Linked DNA regions of Arabidopsis thaliana. The protein of the gene in region 2 interacts with the protein of the main gene of each other region in a pairwise test. Each region holds a gene or a part of one and is shown on either strand. Other genes may lie near its edges.

The links.
Region 1: the proteins of bHLH39 (region 2) and FRU interact in binary tests that used the Arabidopsis thaliana proteins (3 or more experiments, as listed by UniProt).

The regions. Positions count from the first base shown.
Region 1 is NC_003071.7:12,002,566-12,006,495, reverse strand, and holds FRU (FER-like regulator of iron uptake), read right to left. Parts: upstream 1,839-3,930; 5' UTR 1,784-1,838; coding exon 1,307-1,783; intron 1,226-1,306; coding exon 1,025-1,225; intron 950-1,024; coding exon 773-949; intron 690-772; coding exon 588-689; 3' UTR 501-587; coding exon of another isoform or gene 493-500; 3' UTR 220-492; downstream 1-219. Other genes in the region: ATCHX7 (Cation/hydrogen exchanger family protein), read left to right, coding at 1-125. UniProt on the Arabidopsis thaliana protein: Transcription factor. Essential protein involved in iron uptake responses. Regulates FRO2 at the level of mRNA accumulation and IRT1 at the level of protein accumulation. Confers enhanced iron mobilization responses at low iron supply.
Region 2 is NC_003074.8:21,085,821-21,089,750, reverse strand, and holds bHLH39 (basic helix-loop-helix (bHLH) DNA-binding superfamily protein), read left to right. Parts: upstream 1-2,040; 5' UTR 2,041-2,256; coding exon 2,257-2,583; intron 2,584-2,689; coding exon 2,690-3,139; 3' UTR 3,140-3,361; downstream 3,362-3,930. Other genes in the region: EDA7 (embryo sac development arrest 7), read left to right, coding at 1-121, 229-321, 415-600, 701-906, 997-1,393.

The DNA.
Region 1 (3,930 bases), on a different chromosome or scaffold from region 2:
CAGTTACAAAAGGATTAAATGAATGGACAGAGTTCGAGGAACTTGGAGCCCTCGGAGATGTTATAGCGTCAAAGGAGTTTCCTTCAAGGGCATCTGTCTTGGTCTTGCAACAGCAACAATATTAGAATCTTTTTGTTTTACCATGTTATGAATATCCAAAGCACAAATTAGGTTCCTAGAGTTGAGTCGGCGATCCATATAGGTCGTCTGTACTGCTTTCTCGGGGTTAAAATTCTTTATTCTTTTACCAATCAAACAGAGAACAATACATAGAATCAAGATGTGAATGGTCTTGCAACAACAAAGCAATAATACAGCCAATGAACCAAAACGTGATATATCAAAGCAAAAGAAACTTAAGACTTGAGACTATAAACAAAACATAAATATTACTTCATTTAACCATACAATTTGTCGCTAAATTACTATATAACATGGTGTTTATTCAATAGAGAATCAACAATCTCGGTTACATCATCACTAGAATAGAAATTAGAGCCCTGGAAGTTATGAAACATGTAAGAAAGGTACACAATCAATATAGTGCAGAACCGGATTTGACTCACGTTAGAGCAAGCGTTATAGAATCAAGTAAATGACTTGATGAATTCAAAACCTTGATTTAAAAGTGATCCAGTGATCCACAGCTTCAGGTTAGGCAAGTTTAAGCTCTGTTCGAAGCATGTCCCCTGTTTCCACCACACAAGAAAACTCGGTAAGTAAACGGTATACTCGGAAACAAAACAAAGTAAAAGGGCACAAGTTGATTTACATCTAAGGTATATGTTAAGAGGTATGTGTCCGGAGAAGGAGAGCTTAGGTTAGAGTTCTGCACTTGGAAACTTGTAAGAGACTCCAAAGACTTGTAAAGAGATGGAGCAACACCTTCTCCTTTGTTACACACCAATCTCACATAAAACCCTTTCTCCTCCACTTGTATAACATCCATCTAACACAACAAAACATACAAACTTTAAACACTTTGATGTTTCAAGAAGATTGATTGGTTTTTTTAGGTTATTACCTGAATGATTTTTTTGGAAGCAGGAGGATTGATACCGCGAAAAGGTTGAGTCTTTTGAGCATCAGGAGCATGTTCTTGGTACCCTCCAGTAGAGTTTAAAGAAGCTTCAAGACCCGCGATATCGGATTTGAGTTTCTTCGCTTGTGACTGAAGTTCTTGAACATACAACACTGCATCTCCAACAATGGATGCTTTATCCATCTAAATGCCAACACACACATACTTCATCAATATTTACAGTTTCATTAGTCATTACCAAATCTTGAAAATGTTGTGACTTACCTTAGTAATATTGGGAACAAGAGATCTCAATGCATAAAGCTTATCCTTCATACGCCCTCTCCTTCTTCTCTCAGAGATCAAAGTCCTAGACCGATCAGTCTTCGTCTTACGGGTCCCATCATTATTCGTAGTAGTGGCTGAAGAATCATCACCGTCGTTGTAATCTTCTTCATCTTCTTCACCACCGGCTCTAACACTATCACCGTCGAAGCTACGGAATGATTCAGCAACGTTGGAGTCTAAGTCAGGCAATTCGTCGAAGAGGTCATCGACAGGTGTTGGGATGAACTGGTTCTCGTCTATGAAACAGGGGCTGTTTTGTAATGGACCAAGATCGAAATCAAGAACTGGGTTTTCGTCAATGGTTTGATGATCTCCTCTTATGAGGTTTATGAACTGATCGAAGTTTGGATCGACCAAGAAATTGTGAAGTTCGAGATCGTTTATGTTTGACAGAGCGTTGACTCTTCCTTCCATTTGTGTGTTTTTGTCAATGAAGAAAAGTTGTTGACAACGAAAGAGAGACAAAATGAGTTTATATAATAGAGTGAGTATGAAATAAACTGTATTAATTAACATAATAAGTTAAGAAATCAATTAAAACAAATTTAAAGAAATGTACTCTTGATAGTTGGTTGATATTAGTTTATTCAGTTACGTCTTGTAATGTCATGCATGACCTGTATATTATATGTATAAATTATGTTACTCGAATGATTAATTTGTCGTGTTGCATGACAATTATATTTCCACATTGTTCTTCTTTATATTTTATCATTTGAATTTTTTTTTGTGGTGGAGGGAATGCAGATTAGAAACAAGAGTATATGTTGATCAAAAAAAAAAAAAAATATATATAGAAATAACACACATTTTTGGTCATGTCTTTATTGGGAGAAGTTTTTTAAAATTATACTACTTTCCAAAAATATCATTTTTATCCATTTTCAAAAATACCACAAATATTTAGAGTTTTTTAAAGTTATAAAATATACCAAAAATATTACTATATAATTTAGTTTATGAATACATTATTATGAGTTTTGGTTATTAAGACCTTATATAGGCATATAGCATGTATATTAAGCTCATAATATATCCTGTTACTATATAATTTAGTTTATGAATATATATGAGTTTTGGTTATATAAATAAATAAATCGATCAGACCGTATTAAAAAGGTGTTCATAAGTAAAAGTTTACTACGATATTAGACGTACAAATGTTAGTGTACTGTTTATATTTTTGAATTTAGATCCACATATATTCTTGTTTATTAAAATGTTAGGAATTAATTTGCAATCGGCTTATTACAACTGTAGATGTCAACTGGTTTAGTTGTCACAAGCTAGAATTTTAACAAAAGTTTTTCTCAACATTTTTATGTTAGTGTATTTAAAAAGTACTCCAATATGATAAATATGTTTTGTAGAAAAACGGCCAAAATTAATTTCAAATATAAACTTAAACCAGCATAATTTTCAAATAACAAACCAACTCTGGAATATAATAGCATTTCAATTATTTTCTTTTATTTTTGATAAATGCATTTCCATTTTTCAAATCATTTAAGGATAAACCGCAATTAAATTATGAAGAAGCCTGTTCAATGCACGGTTTTCGTTCTTGTCTCAACAAACAAACAAAGGATAGCAAAGAAAGACAGTATAAAATATTAAAGTCTTGGCCGGTTAGGACAAAAATCAACTCTTTATAATATTTCAAGTTGGAATATTTTTTCAGGTATATAACTGTAAAAAAAAAAAAAAAAAAAAAGTCAACCAATTATAGATTCCATCTAGGTGTTGAATTTATTAGAGAAACTGAACTTTTGAGCAACATTGGATTTTTGGGATACTCCACAACTTTCAAAAACATCAACCAATTTCCAAATAAATATTTGAATAATGCTATTATGTCAATTTAGTAGATGTTTGGTTAGATCGTGGCTGTAAATTTCGGTCTGTAATGTTTCTGATATAATCTTATTTTTGCTGTAAAATTTTTTTTCACATATAGCCTCTAGAGTTTAAAACAAATAAAAATTGTTGTAAAAACAATTCATGAATATGGCATACTTTGGTTCAAATATATTTGATACATGTGAAGCTAGCATAATTTTTACTGAAATTCTTCCTATTTCGTTTTTTTTTTGCCACATGATTATCTTTCAGTACTCCAACAAATATGACAACTCTTTTTCTTTTCTTCACTAATTGACATTTGGAACAAATACAATTTTGCTGTACCTATCACATCTTTAGAAACATAACTCTGAATAAGTCACAAACTTATGAAGCAAAATATTTTGACAAACTTTTTTCTTTTTTCCTTTTCTTTTTCCTCTAACCTTTATGCATGTCAACTAGCAGATAACTTTTAATTTGTTCACCCCAACAAAAATGGGGAAAATATGAAAACTCCTTTTCTTCTCTATACAGACATGGAACAAATTCAATTTTTATGTGACTTATCAGCACATCTTTAGAAACACAACAGCGGATAAGTCATGACTCATGAACATCAATAAAGTATTGTGTCAGATTTTCAGATAACCGTAACTATCGGTTACAATTTTGAAAACCGAAATGGCATGGATTCACTAATAAAACCAAACCTACCA
Region 2 (3,930 bases):
TAATTACAAATTTTTGGCAATGGAAGATCTGGAGAAGTTGCAGCTAACTCATTTGATTGGAACAGATCTTTTGAAAGCATCTATGCATGGATATTTTATTAATTACCATTTGTACAAAAAGGTGAGTCCTTAACATTTTCATAATACTTATACCATCAGAAAAGTCTTTTTTTTTTTTCGGGTCAAATTGGAATAGTCTCTATAATGTTTCTTCCTTTCTTTTTACAGGCTTTAGCAGTGATTGAACCTTTTGCATTTGATGATTACTTAGAACGTAGGAAGCAAGAGAAGTTAGAAGAGCAGCGTACGCAGAGAATCACAGTTAGTATTTAAAACCTTAGCAGCTATACGTTCACCATTTGTTTGTTTACCGGCTACTTACATACACATCTGTTTCTCTTGTGCTTCCTTCAGAAAAAGAGACGGTTGCCAAAGGTTAACCGAGACCTTGCAGCAAGGCTTCATGGGGACGAATCAGAGGAGGAAAATAAAACTGCCGAGGATGGGGAGGCCACCAAGAAAGTGCTGAAAAAGAAGAAACCCATACTTACTGACGAGCATTTCGTAGATGGTCGGTTTGGTTCGATGTTCCAAAATCCGGTATTAACATATTCTTTTCAACTTTTTTTGTTTGATCTTTTTATTGCTCTATTTCACATCGTATCAAACGTATTCTTGGGAATCTCCTTTTGGTTTTCAGGACTTCCAAATTGATAAGGACTCATATGAATATGGTGTCCTACACCCTGTTGCTTCTTCGAAGAAGCAACCTTCTCTGTTAGATGAACACTTTGAAGCTGTATCAGATGATGACGAGAACAGTGATTCTGATGCATCACAGCCTTCAGATGACGAGGCCGACGATGGAGACGCAACTAGGCCAAGCAAGAAAGCGAGAACTCCGAAGTTAGTGTCTTTTGACTGCATTCCAGGATCTACATTTGACACATTCTATCTTGATTCTTTTGTTTTCTGATGTGGATGATTTGGTGTCAGGTTGTATGAAGTGAAAGATGAGCGGCATGCCGCAGCTTATCACAACCGCACTTCACTGGCTAAAGAAGATAGTCTTCCTATGGGCGAGCGTGTCAAGGCTATAGAGAACCGGCGTGGCAACTTTGGAGGCTCGAAAGATATCAAATTCGGTCCTGGAGGATCACGGGAGTTTTCTTTCAAGGCGAGAGGGTCATCAAAGTACAAAGAAGATAGAGACGATGAGTATGAAGATGGGCAAAGAAACAAGAGGAGAGGAGTTCAGTCTCTTGGACTGAAATCAACAAATATTAGAGGCGGTTTCAGAGGTAGAGGAGGTGGTGGTTTTAGAGGGAGAGGAGGCGGCGGTTCCCGGGGAAAAGGTGGCCGTGGTGGTGGGCGTGGAAGAGGCCGGCAATGATAAATGTAGCTTTTCAGGGGCTTTATTAGATTTGAAAAATGTGTCACCTACTATTGAGAATCTTGAAACTTAATTGATCACATATACAATTTTGGAATATTTTTGACCTGGTCTTCAATCAGCACAACAGAATTTGCTTACTTGAGGCTAAAGGTAATTGATTGGAAAGAGGATGACCTAAAGTTGACCCTAGTTCGATAATGATTTATCAATCCGCATGATAAATCACCGACCGAGGGTTGTTAATAGCTAAATTAACAAAGCTAACATTGATTTAATAAAGTAATTAAAGAAGATGCTTCTGGTTTTTTTTTTTGGGAGGTCAACAAATAAATAAAATGCTTATGTATATGCTTACAACATGAGAATTGCTTATGTATATGCTTACAACATCCAAGTGTTTGGGACTAGGAAGACGCCTGAATCTGATTTACACGCGTCTTCCACAATTTCTTCAGGCTGAGTCATCTTTCAATATGTAAACTCTAATACTTAATACATGTAATATTCTTCTTTAATTTTTTATATAGCCAGTCTACTTGTGACTAGACCTTGTTCACCCGTGGGACATAGGCTTTGGCATGTGTCGACCTACGTCCTCAGATCCAAACATTCTTCTTTATAGTACAAGTCGTATAACACTTATAATATAGTTTGCGAATTTTTAAAGTTTTGGTTGTATAATAGTATAGTTTGTTAATTTATACTTAACCATAGAGATTGATATATTGAATTGTATATATCCGCATTATATATACGTTGGACAATAATATTCTACCTAAGTTCAGAACAATCCTAACCAAAGCAGCTTCCAAGCATCTAGAGAAAACAGAATCTACAATACTTGTCCTTAGTAAGCAAAAATGTGTGCATTAGTACCTCCATTGTTTCCAAACTTTGGGTGGCCATCAACGGGAGAGTACGACAGCTACTACCTCGCCGGAGATATCCTCAACAACGGCGGGTTTCTTGATTTTCCGGTACCGGAGGAGACTTATGGAGCTGTTACAGCGGTGACTCAACATCAGAATAGCTTTGGTGTTTCTGTTTCGTCGGAGGGAAATGAAATAGACAACAATCCGGTGGTCGTCAAGAAGCTTAATCACAATGCTAGTGAGCGTGACCGTCGCAGGAAAATTAACTCTTTGTTCTCATCTCTCCGTTCATGTCTTCCTGCCTCTGGCCAATCGGTAAGAAGCTACTCCGACTCATTGATTAGACCCGTTATAGTTTATGCATCTATACAATTTAGAAGAAGAATACTGCGTTAAACCTTTTTTCTTTCCTTTCTTGCAGAAGAAGCTAAGCATTCCTGCGACGGTTTCTCGAAGCTTGAAGTACATACCAGAGCTGCAAGAGCAAGTGAAGAAGCTAATAAAAAAGAAGGAAGAGCTCTTGGTGCAAATTTCAGGTCAAAGAAACACTGAATGTTACGTTAAGCAGCCACCAAAGGCCGTCGCGAATTATATCTCGACCGTTTCTGCGACTAGGCTTGGTGACAACGAAGTGATGGTCCAAATCTCATCGTCCAAGATTCATAACTTTTCGATATCTAATGTTTTAAGTGGGTTAGAAGAAGATAGGTTTGTTCTTGTGGACATGTCATCTTCAAGGTCTCAAGGAGAAAGGCTTTTCTACACTTTGCATTTACAAGTGGAGAAGATTGAAAATTACAAGCTGAATTGCGAAGAGTTAAGTCAGAGGATGTTGTACTTGTATGAGGAATGTGGAAACTCATATATATGAGAATTTGGTCTTGTTTCTTTATAGTTATGTTATGTCGTCCTTTTTCTCTTCGAAATCTAACATTCTTGACAAAGCGTTGTAGTCGAGTTGTTTCGTTTTTTTGGTCGAAGTCAATGATCGATTAGTTATGCTATTAAGTATAAACTGATTATTATGAAGTTCATGTTACAGCTATAAACTTTAATTTTCGCCTAGACTTTGAATGTTACTAATAAAAAATTTGTTTATGTATATCTTGTTATTTATATCCAGTTAAGACTAGAGTTAGTGATGTTTTGGTGTATCAATAGAATATAAAAACGAGAAAAGACAAAAGAGGGTATTTTATTAACAACTACTATATATCACTACTTGTGGGCAACATTATAGTAAAGAGTCTATGGGCTCCAATTTAGAAGATAAGTTATGTAATTAAGCCAAGTTGCACTTATGAATTAATAGATTGTGGTGACATTAAAGAGTTAATTAAGATTTATTAGGATAAATGATAAATGAGAAGCCATGTGGTTATCCATTGATCCTTTTTTTGTCAAAGGGTTATCCATTGATCTTGGAGTTATTATATACTAGAGGCAGTTTTTTTAATCAGAGTGGCATCACAGAAAAAAGTTTGGAGTATTGGTTTTGAAAGAGTTAAATCTTTGGATTTTTAGTTTATGTTTGTTTAAAAAAAGAAGAAGAAATGTATTGGTTTACTTGGCTTGGTTATAAAATATATGAGATCGAATAAGGATATGAATTTACATGATGATAACTGTAGCTTTCGGAGATTATCATATTAGCTTAGAAAA